2 linked regions of the Rhinolophus ferrumequinum genome follow. The protein of the gene in region 2 purifies or fractionates together with the protein of the main gene of each other region. This does not show direct contact. Links are inferred from orthologs where the notes say so. Each region holds a gene or a part of one and is shown on either strand. Other genes may lie near its edges.

Region 1 (10,719 bases), on a different chromosome or scaffold from region 2:
AGTGCGTCTTTTGCAGCAAAAATTAATATAAGACCCGGTAAGAAGGTAACAGATAATATATTATTTATATTATATTATATTATACACAGTCCTATATTATATTAAAATAAGACCAGGTCTTATATTAATTTTTGCTCCAAAAGATGCATTAGAGCTGATGGTCCGGCTAGATCTTATTTTCGGGGAAACACGGTAAAAACACTCCGCATGGCCCGGTCGGCACCAGTATTTTGTGTCATGTCATGTGAACATGTTTTAGCTGTAGGATGTAGATTATGGTTCCCAAAGAAAATATTAGTAACTTCCATACCTACCACAGATCCAAAAATAGACCTTAATTCTTTCATACAATTTTCATTGGCCTTTATATAAACACAATTAATTCATAAGCTTATTAATGTACCTTCCTCTAAATACTTAGGAAATAATACTTTTTCTATCTTCTCCTTTGAATATGTTTTTGTGATAGTCTATTGATTTTATGTGTTTGACACATATTAAATCCATGGTATTTACCATTGTATTCAGGGAAAGGGGAGATCTGCCATATCATCAATTTTTGAGAAGGATGCCTAGAAAGAGACCTCATTGTTCAGTGACTAAGAACATCATTTAAAGCCCAACTCCACAACTTAACTCGCACACTGTAATTGAAATGACTGCCACAAACCACTAGATGGCCCTTCATATCAAATATTGCTAAAAACCGTTGCTTTTTGAGGTCTGTTCACTGTACTGCCTATTTAGAATTGCTTTTTACAGTAAACCGCCCAATATTATTGAGAGAGTATCTGTTATGTGCATTCTTTCTCTTACTGGACTATTTGTTCTCAGCCACAATAGGTCATTCTGATATAATCTCAAAGCTAGTCCAGTACTATAAGAATAATCAGGTGACAACCTGCTGGCACTCATGAAATGTACACTAACAGCACTTTAAAAAAATTATCCTTAGAATCAAAATGGAATTGGGATATCTTAAGGGCAAACCTGTTGCCCTATAATTTTCATTCTTGTTCTAGTTGGCTACAAATTTTGGAAAAAGAAGCAAAGAGATTCACAGCATGGGATTTGTAACATGCAGACACCTACCATTTGACTCTGAAGCCATTCAATGAGCGTTTCTGCTGTTGAATCTGGAATCTGGCATCTCAAGCCTTCCTTCTCATCCGTTTCCATCATCTCTAACAATCCACGCAGGTCTTCCACAAGGTGCAGAGCTCGCAAGCTTCCCATGAACGGAGAGGTGGGAGACTGGCAATCAAAAATCCCATTGGAATATTCCAGAGCCTTAGAGCCTAGGATAAAAAAAAAAACAAAAACAGTCACAGAGAAAGCAACAGAATTTATATTAGATAACAAACTAAAGCTGAAGGTGGCAAGCAAGTCCAGTCACAGTGAGCAATAACCAAAACAAAAAAAAAGGGAAAAGACAATTCGATCATGTAAATCTCTCCAAGGCATAGTTATCTAGTGCAAAAATTAAAACTACATAATTGATGGTAAATATCAGTGGTCAAATACCTAACAGAGAAGCCAACTGTGTAGTATAGTAAGAGGATAGTGAGCTTTGGTGTAAGATGTGCTGACCTTGTAGAAAGAAGGGGTAAGAAGGTAGCAGATAAGTTTGTGGGGAGCCATGCATTCCAAAAAACACAAATTTTAGGGGCTATAAAGTCTTTAAATTTCCTATAAATAAGTTACACATTGAGGTGGAAATTGCACAGCATAATTTCAAAGGTAAGAGGGTCAGCTCCCAGTTAACTTACCAGAATTTAATCTCTGAAGAAGTTCAATGATTACCTGTGTATACTCATACTTGTACATGTACGAGTATGTATGGGCCTGTGTATGTAAACATCTTCCCCATGATTGTTTGCAGCCTAACATCAAATGCTCTTGTTAATTTTGGCTTTAAAAAAAAAACAGTTTTACAGCCATTTTTGTTTTCTATTATTTATAAAACATTCTGCTACTTAAATCCACATAACTGACCCACAGCCCTTTCTGAAAGCACTCGTATGTACCTCTTCATATCTTAGATTTTTATTTTCTGGTCTGTCAAATATACATACTATCAAATATGAATACTGACTTTATACTTAAATATCAGTAATTATGATAATTAGGTTATCACCTCATGAATCTGAAGCTCTTACAATTGGGTGAGACCTGTGAAACAATGTGTAAGTTCTCTGCCCAGTTGGCCATCTGGCTTGATCAGTTCTAACAATGGGGAGAGGAATTCCCTTCCAGCTAATCCAACCCATTGATCTACCTAATACTGGGACAAAATCTGCTAAACTCTAATAATGGCAACCATTAATACGTTAGGCACAATGCTAACTAAATGCTTCACGTAACCCTCGAATCAATCCCCTCAAGATCCTTGTAAAGCTGAAATGAGAACGCAGAAAAATATGCATTGAGGAGAGTATGTCAGGGGGAGGGAGGGACAGAAAAGCATTAAAAACCAGACAGGCTCTAATGTCTTATTCCTCAGTTTTAAGCAATAGGATCACCTGATGATATTATTAAAAATACATGAGCCCATGATAACCCTCTATCCTGTTAGGTCTCTGTCACAAAACAAAATGGGGATAAGGGAGAGATGTGTATTTAGAAAAATTCCCCAAATGTTTGTAGTCATTTCTCCTCCTCTCTCTCTCTTACCTCAGTTGGAGGTATAATGTTAACAGAGGTTAATTTGAAAACATAAATCCAGATCCTACCCACAATGCTACTGGACTGACTTAGTTTGAGGTGGGACCTAAGGAATCTTGATTTTCTTAATAACTCTAATGTTGACAGGAACAAATACACTAATCTAGTGCAGTATATAAAATATAAATCCTTCAACTACTGTTGCAGAAATAGCACTTCTCTCATCTTCATTTTCACTACAAGTGTAAGGTTAAAACTTCTGGTAAGAGTCTAGAATTGGTTCTAGTTATATTTTCTGAAATTGTGACAGAGTAATGCCCCAAGCAACAATACACTTTTCTAGGTTAAGTATAACCAATTCCTTACTAGATGTGGTGGTTAAACTCTTTGCCTTCGTGCTAACCTCCTCTAGATAAGTTTTAGTATTCCAGTGATCCTTTGAAAATGATATTCCATGAACTGAATACAGTACTCTAAAGGTATGGTCTTATCTACAAAGGAGATCAAATTGAAGTCGGGTCTCCAAGACATGTAAGTATAACAAAGGAGGCCAAACCATGACATGCCACTTCCCTCAAAAGAAGAACCTTCTGAAAAGGAAAGCACTTACGGTTTCTCAAACCACCCAAACAGAGTAGAATCGAATTTATGACAAAAAAAAAAAAAAAGTACGCAGCTGGGGCAGGAAAACTAGAATCCTGGAGCAGTAAACGCCAGCTGTATCCTGACCCTGATCAACAAGTACATTCATGACAACCCCACCCAATAGCCCATTCAACCTTCTTCCCGTAGTAATGGGTATTTGAGACAAAATACAAAATGTGACACGAGACCTTAGGTAGCCACCACTCTTGAGAGACTGCAAGGGAGTGAAAGGGTTCGCCTATTAACTAGTCAGTCCCCTCAGCCATGATGAGAAAACTAGGAAGTGATGGTCTGCTGCTTTTGCTCAGCTTCCATAATAGAGAACTGCTGAAGATTCTTAACAAGGAAGTAATATGATCAGACTGGGCTTTAGAAAGGTGATTCTGGTGTTTTAGAGAAAGATGGACTAGAGCAGGAAAGCAAGAGTGTCAGGAACATCAAATGAGAGCATTACTTAGATAAAGCAAGACAATGGTAGCATAGACAGGACAGATTTTAGACAGGGGAAAAAAGAGAACGATAGAATTTGGTATGAGGTAGAATTGATAGAACTTGATTGACTAAGTTGGGGGATATGAGGGACAAAAGTGTGTAGAATGACTTAAATTTCTGTTTAGGAAACTGTGTGGATGAAGGGCTATGAAATTAGCTGAAGACTACTAGAGGGGTTTCTGAGGAAAGAAAATGAACTCAATGTTTTAAATAATGACACTGATGTGTCTATACAGGACATTTCAGGGGAGATATATGATTGGCAGTTAGAGACAGGGACTTGAAGCTTAGCAAAGAATTGGAAAAGTAATTAGATGTGAGAGTCACTGGTGGAAAAGTGTTGAATTCAAGGGAACAGATCAGAACATTCATGGGTACTAGGTAGAGCAGTATCCCTCAAAGTGTGGTCCACATACTGCCAGCACCCGAATCACCTGAGAAGCAGATTCATTATCCTTGATCAGAAGCCTAGGATAGTACTGAAACTTTTGACATTTAAAAATAAAATTTAAGAATAATTCTGGAAGAAAATGGAGAAGAGGAACAAATATAGTACCATAGGGAACCAAACTAAAGTTGTTGGAGAGAGACAATAAATGAAAATAAGAAAATGGAAAGATAATAAAAGAGTTATAATGAAAAAGCCATGAGAGCAGAATAAATGGCATGGTTCCATTTTTTTTAGAGGATGCAGATTACCTGCTATAATACCATCCATTTGCTCCAACGCTGCAGCCAACATGTCACTTGCATCACTCATCATTTTGATATTCGTCAAGGGCAAATTCCAACCTAGATCTGAAAAAACAAAGATGTTAGCATTACATCCTCTAAATGATACACACTTCCTGGCAGGTTTGATAATTCAACTTCAAATTATAGCTCCGCCTAGCAGACAAATACGGAGAATGCCTAAGTAGTAGAGCTGAATTAACTGAACCATTTAACAAGTGTGGCCAATATTCATCTACTGTACTGCAAGACCACGTGCTACACCTGTGTCAGTTAATAAAATAAGTAAGATTCAGTTCTTGCACTCAAGGTGTTTAAAATTCAGCAGAATGGTTCCCATGCTGTTCTCTGTAAAGCTCTAGTTCCCTGTGACAGGCATTGGGGATGGCTGTGGAACCCTGTTGAGGGCCATGAGGCATGCTGGGTAGAGAAGACTTCTTTTTCCCTGCACCAGCCTTACCCAATCTCTGCTCATTTAATTTTGCCTTTTTTTCTTTATAGAGAATTAATTTAATTGTAAGACTTTGCCTAATAAAATGGTTCATGAACAAATATACTATACACACATATCTGTCATTTTATAATGTAATAGTAGTAACCATGTACTGAATGCCTACAGTGGTCCCTATATATTTACATAAATTATCCATAATCCTTAATCATGACAAGACCCTATAAAACGGATAAATTCATCTCCATTTTATAATTGAGACCAAAGACGTTTGTTGTTTTGTATAGAAACATAGCAAATAAAGCAAAAAAAAACATTTTTAACCTAGATCTGTACTATTTCCACGATAATACTGAATTTCTGTTTATTTGAGCCTATCTGAATGATAGGTTTATACTGAAATTGTGTCAAAAACTACTCCCTCTTTTGCCTGTTAAAAAATCGAAATTATCCTTGCAACAAATTTGGTCATTAACAGGAAAAAGTCAAATTATGTGATCTTCAATATTATTTAATGCATTTCAGGTACCTGTCTAAGCATCCACATAAATTCTCCCAACAGGCCTAAAGAAGGCTCTTGCTACTTTGCAGATACTGTGATGTACCTGCATCACAGACGCACAGTAGCAGAACAAATAACATGAGAAATAAAGATTATGCTATTTCACAGAAACCTTTGCCCTCTGTTTCCAAGCAGCCAGATTTCACTTACCACTTTATCTTTACAAACACATTTACAATTCTGATGAACAGCTTCTTGGATCAGTTCTCTATTGGGTATTCATTCCAATAAAATGTCATTTAATCATTGTGAAATATTACTTTGATTTTATAGCTTTTATAGATTGCATCTAAGAATTTGCCAGAACTTTACTCACTTCAGAAAATATAAAATATCACTACCATGTTATGTGGAAATACTACAGCACAAAAATCCCCAAGGCATGTGTTTACAGTCACCCAGATATCAGAGGGTTAACAAGCAAGGTTATGAACCTAGGTAGTTCTTAAAAATTTACTTGCATATTTAGCTAGTGAACAATTCAAGAGGTGAGGCATCAATTTAATAATCACATTTCAGGAGGAATACTTAAAATGTGAAAATTGCAAACAAAGATTAAGCCAAATAGCATACAGTCATTGACTTTCATATAATTAAGTGGCTTGCATTCCGTTTCATTTTAAAAGTTGCACTTCAAAGAGCTTTAGATACTATGGTATATATATATATATATATATATATATATATATATATATATATATACGCACACACACACACACGTATATATATATACATACACACACAAAAACATATATCATAGTATACACACACATATATAATCATAGTATACGCGCGCGCACACACACACACAGACATACAGTGTGCCAAAAAAAGTATACACATTTTAAGAAAGGAAAAAACTGTATTAAAATTGTGATATTCAATATATACCGATAACAAAAGATGAATACAAGTCATGTCAGGCTCAGCTATAAATATAAAACATGAGGAATGCTAATAAAACAAAGTGATGCTCACATTGAAAAGAGTCTCATTGCCTCACTAAATCAGAAAAACAAATATTTGCCTTTGGTAGCAATTATATTTTGTGTAGAGCATGAACACGTTCAACTATAACAAGTCATTATCTATTTCTTCACTGTTCTGTTCATAGAGCCTTTCAAATACTACAGCATGGAGGTATGAAAATGCAGGCCATGCTTTTCAAAGCGGTAAAAACCCATTTTTAAAAAACTTGTCAATTCTTTAGAGACCAATCCTTTGTTTACTATCATAAAAATATGATGCTATTACATTGTTATAAAAGTTTATAAATGCTTACTCTTGATCTCTACATGTATCACGTAATAACCAACATGTAACTGTAAGAAGAAGACAGTGAGAACAATAAATATGTATGTAATATGTATGGCAAAGGCGGTAGGTGATTAGGGTTAAAAATGGACAGGACAAGAGGGGCCAGGAGTTTAGAGGGGTTTGCAAATTAAATAGGAAAGTCAGGGACAGTGACAGATTCAGAGGCCAAAGATCTCTTTAATATGTTAAAAGTAGTTAATTATAGGTGGTCAAGTTCAGTGGTATTCCAAATATAGAACTTCTATGAATCAATTAAAAAATGGGATGGGTGAGGGCATTAACAGGCATATAATAGAAGAAACACTTTTAACCAATAAAAATATGAAGAGATGCTTACTGTATTAATAACCAAGGAATTTAATACCACAGTGTGATACTGTTTTACATCCAGTCTGTTGGCACAAAAAAAAAAAAAATTAACACTACCAAGTAATGTAGTGGATATGGATTCATAGAATCTCTTCTAGAATGGTGGTGGGAATGTAAAATGAGCTAAAATTAAACATTCATACTCATTTTCAATCTAACATTATTGGCTCCCAAAGTATATAACCACAAGCAATACACAAATGTTCACAGTAGGACTCTTCACAAGGACAAAAATGTGGAAATGACCCAAATGTCCATCAATATGAAAAGAGATGAATAAATTGGTATAATCATACAATGGAATTGCATACAGTTGTCAAAACTAAAGAAATGTATGTATAGTATGAACAAATCTATGCAATATAATAGCAAATAAAAGAGTAAGTCTCTGGTAAATTCAGCAAGACATTTTATAAAATTAAAAATAATTAAATACAAATATACATATGAACTATATATAGACTCAGGGTAAGCACGTGCACAAATTAAAAAAGGAATGATAACATGAAATTCAGAATGATGACTACCTCAAACCAGGGACATATTGGGACAGACTAAAAAAAGAGTTACATAGGTAAACGAAGGTCAACGTCAAGTTTTTGAGTCATAATTATGAATTCAAAAGTGCTTACTGCATTATTTAAAATGATAAAATGAGAATTCCATTGCTGATAATGGTAGAATATATTTTATAGGACAAATTATCCCACAAATAGCAATATAAAACACTACATGAAAACAATTTTGAAGAAATAAGAGAGCCACAGAAGCAGGTAAAAACTGGAAGGAATTCATTCTTGAGTAAAGGGAACCATATGAGTGAGATTCAGGTTTATACATCTTTTCACCTGTGGACACCTCTCAGTCCATGTGATGCAGAGTTGCTAGGACTCCTGAAGAAAATCACAATCTTTTTGGTTCAAAGGATAGAAGGGGATACAGTTCCTACATTATATACAAAGATGTTTAATACTAATTCATGGTAGACTGTGGTAAGCTAAGAATATACAATGTAATCCATTAAAACTTTAAAAAAAGGACATATAAATAAAAAAGCCAATTAGGATGATGAAATGGAATACTAATAAAAACCTCAATTAATCTGGAAGAAGACAGTTATGGTGAACAATGGAGAGATGGGATAAGCAGAAATCAAATGGCAAGATGGTAGATTTAAACTCAATGGTATAATCACATTAAATATAAATGAAATAAACACTATTAAAAGTCAGACTGGTTTAAAAAAAAAAGACAGATCTAACTATATGCTATTAATTAAAAATATAAAGTGAAAAAATGAAAAATGAGATGACATGCACACAGTAAGCCTAGGAAAGCAGGAGTGGCTATATTAATATAAGAAAAATAGCTCCCAATCAAAGAATATTACTGGAAAGCTATTTTATAAGGATAAGAGTCAATTCATCAGGAGGTCGTAACAATTCCAACTTTTTTTTGCAAGTAATAACAGAGCTTCCAAATACATGAGGCAAAAAACAACACAATTGAGGGAGAATTTCCCAAATTAAATCCATTTGTATTTAATCTAATTGTTGATATGGTTAGAGTTAAGTTTACTGTCCTGCCATTTTTTTTCTGTTTGCTCCATCTGTCATTTGTTTGTCCTTTTCAACATTCTTTTGGAATGGTAGACAAGATAGGAAAAAGAATCCAGTAATACTATAGAAGATTTGAACAACACCATCAACCATTTTGATCTAATTTAATTTATAAAACAAAGCACTCAAACGCAGAATATACATTCTTTTCAAGTCCACGTTATATTCACCACGATAGACCATGTATGCAAAGCCACAAAAATAAGTTTCAGTAAGTTCCAAATGGGCTTTAAAGCAGGACACAGAAGACTAACAACAGCCACCTGAGCGGTCAAGTACTAATACTAAGAACAGAATTTCCATATATATTAAAATTCTGACTTGTCCATGGCTTGAGTTATTTCAGAGGCAGCCTAATTTAGTGAACATCTGTGTTGATAAAGCTATGTCAATTGTCATGGCTGGGTCAAAGTATTTTTAAAAATAGAAAGGCTACATAAAAAGGCTTCTGAAAATCCCACACTATTAAAAAGATTTTCCTATATCCTCAAAATAATTTCTGAGAGGAAGATTCGCCTGGGTGTCCTCACATACTTAATACAATGGATGTTATTCCAATACAATGGAATATTACTCCACAATAAAAAAGACTGAACTATTGATACATGCTACATTGTGTTGAGCAAAAGAAGCCAGACATAAACAACTATGTACTGTATGATTCCTTTTATATAAAATTCAAGAATAGGCAATCTATGGTGATAGAAGGTAGAACAATAGTTACTTTTAGGAAGTGGCAAATAATTAAAGGAGATACTGGAGGACTTCCTGCTCAGTATGTTGATTGAGGTTTGGTTACACAAGTTTATACATTTGTCAAAACTCATCAAACTACACATTTAAGATGTATATATTTCACTGTATGTAGATTTCATCTCAAATTTTAAAAATTAGGAATAAAGATGATTTTTAGAAATTAAAAATTGTATTTTAAAATGAACTAAATAAATGGATTAATGTAAGTAGGAAATGCATGGACTTACAGTGATAATATGTCATGAATCAAGGATAATGAATAATCCAATTACAGACCTGAGGTCCAAAATAAAAGACTCAAGACTATCCACGGCCCTTTGTTCTAATTCTTTGCTTATCTAGAAAACTGATTATAATTTCTTCTTTTGGGTGGACAAAACTATTTAGAAAATTAAAACTTTAACATCTAATGATTCTTACATGATAGCAAGTTCATTTCTGGATTCTATATAGCTAATATATACTTCTCTGAATAACTTGCTGAAGGCAGCTACCAGGAAATATAGCTACAACAAAGGAATAAGGTTTGGGTTCAAGGTCATAGTTCAAACTGGAGAAACCCCTTACTTGTTGGGTGATATAAAGAGAAGACCAGCTGTGTTTGCAGGAGTCCTCAATCCAGTAGTTTTCTATCCCAATGGCTTAATAAAAATAAGCTTAGAAAAGTCTTCAGAAAAGTAATCTACTGGGAATAATATTCATATATTAGAGTAAGTGTCAAAAAAAGACCCAACAGAAGCATGTTTTGTGTATATTTCAAGCTTGGTTAGGACCCATTTAGAGCAGATTTGAATGGGATAAAATATCAGGGAAAGTTCCAGCAATGGGTGTGGTGGCTAAAGGGTTGGCAGAAAATGAAAATTTTTTGCAAGGTTGCTGACTAACTGATGTTTTAAGTCAGGCTGGCTGCCCAGTCTCTCTGTGAAGAAAGAAAGGCTGTTCGAAAATTACAAAGTTTGTTTTAAACTTTGGTTAGAATGACACTTATCCTAGCTTTCTCAGCTTTCCTTAGGTAAAATGTTCAGGTTTGAAAAGAGAACCTCTAATTTTGTGCTCAGAGACCGGTACAGTTCACTGAGATGAATAAAACACTTAAAAGAAGAAATCCCTTC
Region 2 (11,014 bases):
GGAAAAAACTTTGCTCTCCCCGCCTCGCTTCTCCCCGCTGGTCTAATAATTAAAGCAACACGAGACAGATTAACAAGAGAAAAATAATCGAGTTTAATTACATACGTATGTGTGGGAATCCCAGCGACACGAGAGGTTCAGAGGCAGAAAGTTAAACTGAGGCACATATGACGTTCTGAGCGGAGGATGAGGTAAGGTGCCTTGGGGGCGTTAGAGGTAGGGAGGGTCATAGGCGCGACGATAAAAAGAGCAGGTGTTCAGTAATTAGATGTTTACACTGCCACATAGAAGAACTTTCTGGCGATAACTCATTATAACTCATTTACGTTGCTTAAGGGAGGGGTAAACGTTTCTCGTGGGCCCACAGGGTCTCGGTTGCTTTCAGCTCAAAATAATTCACCAGCCCAAGTGACACATCTTGGGGAGGCCTGTTCTGAACCTCTTCAGAAGGGATTTCCATTTTTGGTAATACGGTGGTCTGTGCCTGCTCCAGCTAAAAACAACAACAAGAAATGCGGGATAGAATTTGAAAAAAAAAAAAAAATCTTTTTCAAAGTATTGAATGCTGACAAGGCAGGAAGGAGTGGGAAGATCAAGCTCTCAGTAAAGCAGACTCCGGGAGGCGAGGAGTGCACCAGGGCTAATAGCGCCTGGAAGACATTGGCCAAACCGAGCCAAAATGACCTTTGGCTTTGACGGTTTGTGGAGTGAAGAACACAGAGCCGAAGCCCAGGGCTCACTCGAGGTGGGCAACAAGGGGGACACTCCCCATCATACTGGGACCCTAAAGGGCTACTTGCTTCAGTTCAAAGCTGAGGAAACCCACCCCACCCCATGGGATCACAAGGAACAGTGGGGCTGAGCTCTAGTCCCAGGCAGCCCATGCAGGAGTCTGCAGCCCACCTCCACGCACAGCACTGTGGGAGGGGGTCGGGGGGGAGTGTAGCCAGAGAACTCAGCCTAGACGGACGCAAACGCCCCTAGGAGCAAAACACACCTTCCTCCTGTGCCTCAAAGTCATCCGTGGGCATTCGGAAGGATCCCCAGCACGTGCCATCCCTGGCAGGACATCATTTTGAGCTGAAGACAATGGAGGCCCCAAAGCCTAAGAAAGTACTTTTACCTCCCCTTTAACTGTCTGAAATAATTTAGGTAAAGGGCCTGGTCCAGGAAGAGCTCTATCCCCAGAGAGATCTACAAAGAATGGGGGTAGGTGTGTTGAAGGGGGGCTCAGCTGTGATTGGAGCCAGAGTCCTCTCTGAGTCCCTCCCTGACCCTTCCACATTTGCTTTTCCATCTCCATGTGAATTGTCTTCCTCCTTTTTGAAGTCCCAGATCCCTAGCCCCTTCTCCTTAGTTCAGAAGAGCACATAAGCCCCTGTCACCTGACTGCCTGTGGGCCCCGTATTCTTATGGAGCACCCCCCACGTAGGGAATGAAATGTGTTACTCTGTTAATGTGTCGTATGTCAATTTGAGTATGAGACCAGCCCAAGACCCTGGAAGGGTAGAAGGAGACTCTTTCTTCCCCAGCACATCCCGCAGCTGCCCTTCCCAGGGAGGCGAGCAGTTGGCAGCCCACAGCTACCAAACACACATCTGGGGATCAGGCAGGTGTGTCCCATGGCCTCCGTCTTCTCACCTGTAAATGAAGGGCTTAACCAGATGCTCCAAGAGGGGAACCCCTGGCGCAGGGGTTCTCTGGGGGCATAGATGTACGCCAGGCTAGAGTGTGTTCCCACATTGTATTACGGGGTGTCTGTTCAGAGTGAGGAGATAGGGAATGGATCTGATGGACTAGCCCAGCCTGTCTCCTCCAGCGACAGAAGGGGACAGGCAGGAGGCTGTCCCCAGTTCCCAGCTCTAGGGGAGGGCGGAGGGGGAATGAAGGGGTGCAGTGTCTGATGCCCAGACTGGGTCTTTGATGTGTGCGTGGATAGGTGGGCGGCCGGGCCTGTAATAGGGACTGCCAGGGAAGGAGGCAGGGAAGCCCCCGGGGGCACCCTCAGCTTGACCTACTTGGGCCCCCCATAATTGCCCTCTTCCTTCCCTGGGAGACTACAAATAGGGCTGCCCTGTCTCTAGGCTCCTACAGCTGAACCGCCAACCACCAGGGGTGAGTGCCAACTGCTTGGGTCCTGCTCTGGACTGGGGGTCGGGCAGTTCAGGGAGGGTCCCCTGGTCCCGGGTGTGGGCACGGGGGCAGAGGGATGACCAAAGCTGGGATTGATGGGGTGAGGGAAGTCACAGCTTCTCTTGTACGGTGAGGGGCTGTCGGGAAGGTTGGGTTAGGGGCGTGCAGGGCTGAGGTCTGGCCCTGGGGAGGGGCCAATGGGCTAAAAGCACTGGTGAGACCCTCAGTGAACCCCCTGCAACTCCCCTTGCCTCCGTCCTTCTTTCTTCCAACGGGTTGAGACAGGCCAGGCTGCATGGGGAACAACAGATTCCCTCGGGTTTCTAGGCACCTAGCTTCTGGAAAAGCAGCAGTGGTGGCGCCAGGCAGGCTGGCAGGAGCCCAGAGGGGCAGCTGAGCACCCGTGAGGCTTAGTCCCTGGGATCAGGGCCCTTTCCTGTCCTGGGAAGGTGGACAGCCTGCTCCAATCCTGGGCCGGCACAAAGAGTCAGACCCCGGGGGGTGCTTGGTCCCATCACCCCCGCCTCCCCCTTTCCATAGCCACAACCGTGCTGGCCATTTGCTGTACAGGGCCCAGCAGAGGGGGACTCATTAGAGGGAGAGGCTTGGCCCTGGCTGCCTTGTTACAAGACTCCTGTCCCCTGGGGGAACCGAGTGAGTCACCGGGCTCACATGAAAACAACACTTGTCTTCCTGGCTGCCTTCGGGTTTCACCAGGCTGGAGGCTCTTCCCAGAAGGCGATGCAAGGGTCCAGTGGAATGGGGTGGAGTGGGGTGAGGGGGGCAGTGCCATGAAGGGCTTCCCCTCTAACAGAACAGGGTACCCTAATGCTGAGCCTCCTGTCTCAAGACCCCCAGGGGTCCGGAGGGTGGGCTCAGCTGGGGCAGATCACAGATTGGTAAATGCCTGAGCTTGCTCCCCGACTAGGCCTGTGAGGTGGGACTGACCCCACTTTACAGATAACGCACCTGAGACCCAGGTCGGAGTAAATGGCTCACCTGGGACTGCACACCTAGTGAGAGGCAGGGGGCATTTCCTTTGGATGATGAGTCCCTGAGTTCGGGGGAGGAGGGATGGTGAAGGGTGGTGAGGTGGTGGGAGCTCCTCTCAGACCCGACCCTCCCTGACAATGCCCGGCTCCTCCAAGGGCCTGAGAACAGGGAGAGCGGGCAAGGGTTGAACGAGTTCCTACAGAAGGAGATCTGGGGTCCTGAGAGGAAGGAGCCTTCCAGGGTCGGGAGCTGCTTGTCATGGCGTGGTGCAGAGTGGGACTGAGTCCTTCCTGGGTGCTGGGGATGAGAAAAGGTGGAGAGAATCAGGGAATCCTCTGTGGGGGGGTCGGGGGAGGGCACTCTCCCTGAGGGGTTTGCAGTGATGTTGGGGAAATGAGACCTCTGTCCAGGAAAATAACAATGGGGGCACAGCACAGAAATAGATTAGCAGGTGCTGGTGTGGTCAGGGAGGGCTGCTCAGAGGAGGCGGGCTTGTGTGGAAATGAAGACAGGTCTGGGACAGGCCCGGAACATGGAGGGCAGAGGTACAGGGCGGTGACCGGGGCCTCTGCTATGGGCCACATCTTTGTTCTGTGACAGTGAGAATGGCCAGGCCTCTGGAGCAGGCGGTGGCTGCCATCGTTTGCACCTTCCGGGAATATGCGGGGCGCTGCGGGGACAAGCATAAGCTGTGCCAGGCGGAGCTCAAGGAGCTGGTGCAGAAGGAGCTGCCCACCTGGACCCCGGTGAGCCCCTGGGGTGCCCAGCCTCTGGGGAATACCGCTTGGACTCTGCACAGAGAGGCCTGGGACACGCTCTGAGCAGAGGACAGCAGGAAGTGGGGGAGGCCAGACCGTGGGGCGAGGACACCAGGCAGGAAAGTGACAGGGCAGGAATCGTTTCCTCATCACACGTGCCGCTTTGCAGGGCTGCTGGAGGATGCAGTGAGAGTACAGTAAAGAAACACACAGGAGGCCCTCAGCAGCCATAGTGGGTTGCTCCACAAATAATCTGGGAAGGAGAATGGGGGGGGGCGGGGGTCGGCACGGTGAGTTATCAGAGCAGGTCGGCCAGGTTGGGCCCAGAAGGGCTGTGGGTTGGGATGGGTGGGATCGCCCAGGAGTAGGGGGAGGGAAGCAGCGTGTGTGAGGCATCCTGCCCCCCGTGGCCCCCTCCCCCACACAGACGGAGTTCCGGGAGTGTGACTACAGTAAATTCATGAGTGTTCTGGACGCCAACAAGGACGGCGAGGTGGATTTCGTGGAGTACGTGCGCTCACTGGCCTGCCTCTGCACCTACTGCCATGACTACTTCAAGGACTGCTCCCCGGAGCCCCCCTGCCCCCAGTAGCCTCTGCCGCAGGGTCTGCCCGGGACCTGCTCCAGCTCTGCCCTGTGGGGTCCTGGGCATGGCACCCATACCCCCTGCCCTCTCTTCTGCATCCTTCTCATGTGGAATCTCCCAGGTCTGCCCCTGATATCCTAACCCCTGTTGCCTGGGGCAGGGACCTGTGAAGGGACCTGTCCCCAGGATCACAGCTAGTGACATGCAGAGCGGCCACCCGCTGCCTCCCGGCTGTGGTGTGTGATGGGAGAGGCAGGGGCGCTTTGAGACTGCCCAGGCCCCCCAGAGCATGTGCACGAAGGAGGCCCTGGTGGGAAAGGGCCTGCTGAACTCCCAATAAAGACCTGGTGTCACTCGGTGTGCTTTGGTTCTTCTTACAGGCCAGCCGGGGGGCAGTCCTGCGGAGGTCATGGCTCCTCTCTGGACTTTTCCACTGGAGGATGTCACGGGTCCAGCAGGAGGGGTGGGATCCACACAGACCGTGTTGGGCTCTCTCTGTCTCTCTCTCTGTGTCTCTCTCTTTGGGAGCCAGAGGGCAGCCGGAGCTTCCCTGGGGATGGAACTCAGTCCTCATGACAGGATGATCTGAACGGAGGGTGGGGCCCTGGGTCTGGGGCGGGGTTGTTCCCTGCCCCGGGCTGTGGGCGCCCAGAGTGGCACTAATAGGATTAGGGCGCCTGAGGTCTGATTAGGGTGCTGTCCCACACCGGGGAGGGGTGCCTGGCCTTGGAGCGGGAAGAGGAGCCCTTGAGGCAGACTCCACGCCCGAAACCACCCCCGCCTGAGGAGCTTAACCCCCACTTCTGACCTGCTCTCAATCCCTGAGTTTATACCCCACCCAAGGGGTGAATCCCCCATTTTGGGCCGTTTCACCCCTCACTTCCCACCCTGTTCGTCATTCCTGACGCCCAGCACAACTCTAAACTCCCGTTCCTGACCTCTGCCCCTCCCCGCCTGCTCTTAGTACCTTCACACCGTCCCTGAGGCCCACACCTGCCTCCCACTTCCCACTCCACCTCTGTCTCATCACTGGCAAGCTTGGTCCCAGGGCCTCCTTTGGGGGATACCTGCTTCTCCCAGCCCCCCAGCTCCTGCCCTGGGCCTCACTCAACATGGCAGAGAACACTTTGGGGAAGGGAGAAAGGCAGTGTCAGCTGTGCCAAGCGCTGAGCTTGGGGTCCCCTCCCTCAGGGCAATTTCCCACCTGTCACCCACCACCCCTGGACCCCCTTTCCTAGCTGCTGGGTGGGACCACTTGCTCCCTGTCTTCTATGCTCCAGGCACAGACTGTCCCTTCCTCCAGTTCCCTAAAACTCAGGCTGAGCTGTGTACACTGGGGGGAGGAGGGGTGGGGCTGAGGCCCCTGCCTGCGCCCACTGGGGCTCGCCCATTGTCTGTGGCTGCCAGGGGCAGGGAGCTGCATTTCTAGGCTGGGCTGGTGGGCGGGGGGCGGGGAGGGGGGCCTGGCATGCATCACACAGGCCGGGCAGAGGGTTGTCTCCCGTTCTCCCCCATCCTCTGCCATGGGCAGGGCCTGCCCAGGGTATAAATAGGTCCAACCGCTGGGCTCTCCCCATTCTTCCTGTCTCCCCAACCCTCTCTTCTCAGCGTTTCCTCTCTCTCGACCTGGTGAGTTGTGGTCGCATGACTGGCACGCATCGGGTGTCAGGCTGAGGCTGGGACAGGAGAAGGGGAGGCTGGTGGGGGCCAGATGTGCTAAGTGGGTCCAGATGTGCGGTTCCGATGTGGAAGCTCTGGGGTGGGATGCATGTGTGCGCGCCCGTGCATGAGCAAGGGAGAACGGAAACAAAAAGAAAGACGCGTGCGGTTGGCTGGATTCAAGCTCTCTATAGTATGTTGTGTGGCTGTAGTGTTGTCCTGGTGCATGTTTGACTCGTGGGTGCGCACATTGGCTTGTGTTTGCTGGGCTGCACAAGCCTGTGTGTGCACACTCGGGTGTGGGAAGCAAAGTGAAGTCAGAAGGCAACCGTGGGCTTTTGTCTGGCAGTGTCCCATCAGCCTCTGGCCAGCTCCAGCAGCCCAGCCCAAACTTGGCCTCCCCGGCCCTCGCCTGCATCCCTGCCTCTGCCACCTCACCCTGCCCTCCCTACGCTAGACCCCGGGTTTTTTCCATGCTGGGCAGGCCTCCAGCAGCCTCGCCCAGCATTGGGGGGGGGGGGGGGGGCGGGGAGAATGGGCTGGGCGGGCTGCTGTGGGCTGAGCTGTGGGACCAAAAGGACTGAGTGCGCCCTGGGAGCTTGCATGCTGAAATCCAGGGCCTGCATGCCTGAAATCCAGGAAGTGTTTGCTGCCTGAAGCATGCATTTCCCATGGTGCACGCCCTCCCCACCAGGAGCTGAGACCCACCTTTCCCAGCTCCCCCTGTGGCATGGGAGTGGGTGGGGCATAGCTGGGGTGGGGTGGGGAAGATAAGGATGCCTCTGTGACCCCCAGATCCTGACAACCACCATGGCACAACCTCTGGAGAAAGCCCTGGACGTGATGGTGTCCACCTTCCACAAATACTCAGGCAAGGAGGGTGACAAGTTCAAGCTCAACAAGTCGGAGCTAAAGGACCTGTTGACCCGGGAGATGCCCAGCTTCTTGGGGGTGAGTGGCTACTGCCTGGAAGTATGTCCCCCAGTGGTGTGTCCCCGTCAGAGGCTGGACAGGGCCCTGGGAGGCACCAGTCTTTCTGCAGGGCAGTCATTGCCGCGGGCATCTGTCACGGAGGCGGGTGGAGACGTGGTGAGCACCTGTCACTCATTTCCTGGCGCCCAGCAGAAAAGGGGGCTGAGAACGAACAAGCTGTTAGGGACCAGGCAGTCGGCCAGGGGCTTGGCACGACCGACCAGAAGGGCAACTCACGCTCTGAGGGGCTAAGGAACTTCCCAAGGTAGTCAGCGTGCAAAGCTGAGGTCCACGAACCAGGGCGGTCCACCTCTTGCCATCACTGCAGCAAAGAACCATTTTTTGAGTTTCTATTTGGTTTTTACCTGTGAAGAAGGCACAGTTACGGAGACACTCACACGCCTATTTCCCCTGAGCAATCCTAGCTCCATCTGTATCAAACTTTATGCAACTTAGACATATATTGCTTTCATGACGATTGTCCCCCCGGGGGAGAGATGTGGTCCCCTTTTCCAGTTGCATCCAGGTACTCTCCCTCCCTAGCTTGGCCCTGAAGACTGGAGTTCCAAAGCTGGGCCCCCCAGGAGTGGCTGCACCTGCCTGAGCTCCGTCTGCAGGAAGAAGCCTGCTCTAGTTTTGGCTCTGTCCCCAGACTCCCGGTTTCTACCTGTAACCTCTCCCCCTGCAGAAACGGACGGATGAGGCCGCTTTCCAGAAGCTCATGAGCAACCTGGACAGTAACAGGGACAACGAGGTCGACTTCCAGGAGTACTGTGTCTTCCTGTCCTGCATCGCCATGATGTGCAATGAGTTCTTCGAGGGCTTCCCTGATAAGCAACCCCGGAAGAAATGAGGGCTCCCCAGATGCGAGTGGGGGGCCTGCCAGCTGGGGTCCACCCTGGGGGTAGTGGGCACAGAACCTCACTCGGGCTTCTTCAGACATGTGTACGATGCTGAGCAAGTCAATAAAGATTCTTAGAAGCTACGAGGCTGATGGTCTGAGACTCTGTGGGGGTGTGGGGTGGAAGCTGAGGGATTTGGGGGGGTGCGGGACTCTGGGTGTAGGCTGCAGTTTTGTGGAGACTAGTGAAGGTGGGGGAGGGATGTGGGCTGACTGTGTGTGTGTGTGTGTGTGTGTGTGTGTGTGTGTGTGACAGCATTGACTCTGAAGAGACCGGGGGCAGGAAGGGGGCCCCCAGAGGCTTGGACCGCCCGAGCTGTGGGACCTTATCCAAAGCACCCGCCCCTCCCACCTCCCTCACCTCGCCTCTGGCAGGACCTCTAACTGAGGCTCGGTGGGATTGAAGATCACATCTGCTCCTGGTTGGGGTTTGGAAAGGAGTTTGGGTGCCCTGGGGGTGAGGTGGGGAAAAGGGCTGAGTCACGGGGAGCAGCGAGGCCCGTGTGGAATGTGGAGAAGGGCTCAGTCCCGCCGTCCACAGCCCAGGCCCTGCCCTGCCACCGCCCTCCAGCGCCTTGGCTCCCAACCCCAGGGGGATGTCCCCACAGATCAGGGAGGCGCTGTGGGGGTGGCCAGGCCATTGCAGCAGCCTGAGAATGTGTCCTTCTCCAACCCCCGGGTCTGCCCCAAAGGCCCTGCGGTGAGTGACATCTGTTCTTAATTATTAATCATGTTCTTTCAGAGAAGGACAAAGGACCTTGGAAGGGATGAGTGGAGGACAGTGGCTGGGGTGGGAGAGAGGGAGATGGTGGGAGGCGACTGTAATTTTGGAGACAAAACTCCAGACACAGAAATAAAGTTGAGATTCCCCACCCTCAAGAAAATACCAGGCACGGGATTGCTTCTCCTTAGGTTAAAAGCCAGTAGCCCAGTGTGCAGTGGGGACCGCTGAGGGTAGGTTTCCAGGCCATGCCTGGGTGGGATGGGGACCTTTGGGAAGAGCTGAGTAGAGAGGGCAGGTCCAGAGGCAGGAGGGTTGGGTCCCCGTGACCGTTGGAGCTTTGCCCTTTTCTTCTCATCACATGTGTTGTTCTCTCAAGTTTCAGAAGAGTTGGGTAGGTGACTCAGATACTCCGTCAGAGTGTGACTACAGAGACTTGGGTGGAATTTTAGTCCAGGAAAAAGTGTTCCTCCTCCCTCTTCTCTTTCCTCATCCATGGGCGTGCGCTCGCCTGAGCCTCCTGCATCACTCTCTACCTGGGAACTCCTGTTGCTAGGCGACCAGTCCTGGCTGCCTCTCTAGTGCAGTGCGGAGGATCCAGGCAGACTAGGGTGGGGCCGCAGCAGCCGTAGGTCCTAGACCCCTCACTCGGTCCTGTTCTTAGACTTGGGCTGCTTGGTGGTAGAACACTGTCTGAGTCTCTCCTGGGTCCCAGGCAGCTATCCCTGACCCCTACCCGGTTCCTTATTGCGTTGGAACCCGCTCTCCCCAGTCCACAAGCTCTACCCCATCCCTAGGCCCTCTCCTTCCCTAACCCCCGCCCCAATCCCTGTCTCTCAGCCCTCCATTCCAACGGTCTCTGACGATTCTTTCCCAGGAAGATGATTGAGGTTTAGGAGAAACCATTTGAAAGCCCTTTAAAACCCTCAGGCTCCCGACCAGCTAATGACCTTGACCTTGACCATGCCCTTGGCAGGAAACATCGTCCCCCACTCATTCCCCCACTGGATTCGTCCCCAGTCCTGTCCCAGGAGGCTCTGACCTGGGTCTCCTCGTGTCCCTGGCCTCTTCTCATTGGCCCTGCCCCTGCCCTGGTTTCCCAGAGACTGGAGAGAGGGAATAAAGGCAGAGAGCAGTGGGAGTGAGCCTACTTCTGCTGCCTGGGTTCCCTGGCTTATTTCTTCCTCGGTGAGTCCTTCTGTCTAAGCTCCCTACCTGTCTATATGGTGGGGCAAGCTGGGATGAGGCCAGGGTGTGAAAAGCCGTGGTGACCTCCACCAAGGAAGACCCAGCTCGATGAGTGGGGCACGTGCTCAGGGAGGAGGGCAGGGAATTTGGAACTGTGGCTATCAGCCTTTCCTGAGAAGGGGTTTTGGGGGAAAGGTGGGAATCAGAACCAGCCAAGACGCTGTTGCAGACGCCCCTGCGTCTACTGCGGTCTTGGCTGAGTCTCCTGGAGGTGGGGAGAAGCTGAGTTTTTTGGGAGGTGGGAGGTGAATGACAGGTCTGGTTCAAGAACTGGCTTCTTCCTGCTTGCTCTGGACTCTGTACAGATTTACCTGCAGCCCTCAAGTTCCCTGGGTGTTGCCTCCTTCCTCCCTCAGGGGGAAGTGGTTTCCACATCTGAGTCACGGGAGCTCCAGCTGCCACTTCCCGTGGGTGGGTGTGGCTGTGCTCCGTTCTACACCACCTCTGGATCCAGCTCTCAAATGATCCTGGAGATTTTCAGAGGCCCCCACCCTCCCTGCTAGTGTGTGTAGTTCCCTGAATGGGAGACTGAGACCAGCTGGACAAGTCCAAACACCTCTGTCCTGTTTCCTGTTGAGACCTCACCTCCCAGATCCAGCCCCAGCCCCCTCCAATCTCTGGACTCTCTCCTTGCCCTGTCCCCCGCTTCTATAATGGGACGATCCCTGATATCAGGAGATTCAGGCAGCCGGGCAAAGGAAGGTGACTAGGGTGAGGAAAATGAGCTGGGTGGGGCAGGGAGAAATCCTGGCTCCTTTTCTGCTCCATCGTCTGCCACTAGTTCTTCTTTTGGGGAGGTCATCTCATCATCCCTTTGCCATTAGAGCCCTTTTTTAACACCCCCGAAGCAGGACAGTGTGTGGTCTCCTTTGGGGGGTGGTCAGTTTCACTGCTCTGGCTGTTCCAAGTGTGCCTTGGGTCTCACTAGAGCCCGTGCTGACATATTTGGGTTCACTTGGTGGATCGGTCCCAGTCTCTGGTCCTTGAGGGAGGGGCCTGGGAGCTGGGCTAGTGAGGGGGCAGCAGAAGGTCTGGCTTCCCAG

The links.
Region 1: the proteins of S100A4 (region 2) and PPFIBP1 purify together in Homo sapiens (co-immunoprecipitation; 3 studies listed by BioGRID and IntAct, with this or other methods). This does not show direct contact. The link is inferred for Rhinolophus ferrumequinum from reciprocal best matches to the Homo sapiens genes S100A4 and PPFIBP1.

The regions. Positions count from the first base shown.
Region 1 is NC_046293.1:38,328,640-38,339,358, reverse strand, and holds the start of PPFIBP1 (liprin-beta-1), read right to left. Parts: upstream 4,600-10,719; 5' UTR 4,565-4,599; coding exon 4,501-4,564; intron 1,299-4,500; coding exon 1,093-1,298; intron 1-1,092. UniProt on the Homo sapiens protein: May regulate the disassembly of focal adhesions. Did not bind receptor-like tyrosine phosphatases type 2A.
Region 2 is NC_046305.1:52,503,135-52,514,148, reverse strand, and holds S100A4 (protein S100-A4), read left to right. Parts: upstream 1-5,942; 5' UTR 5,943-6,099; intron 6,100-6,924; 5' UTR 6,925-6,939; coding exon 6,940-7,080; intron 7,081-7,789; coding exon 7,790-7,954; 3' UTR 7,955-8,086; downstream 8,087-11,014. Other genes in the region: S100A3 (protein S100-A3), read left to right, coding at 3,732-3,872, 4,312-4,476. UniProt on the Homo sapiens protein: Calcium-binding protein that plays a role in various cellular processes including motility, angiogenesis, cell differentiation, apoptosis, and autophagy.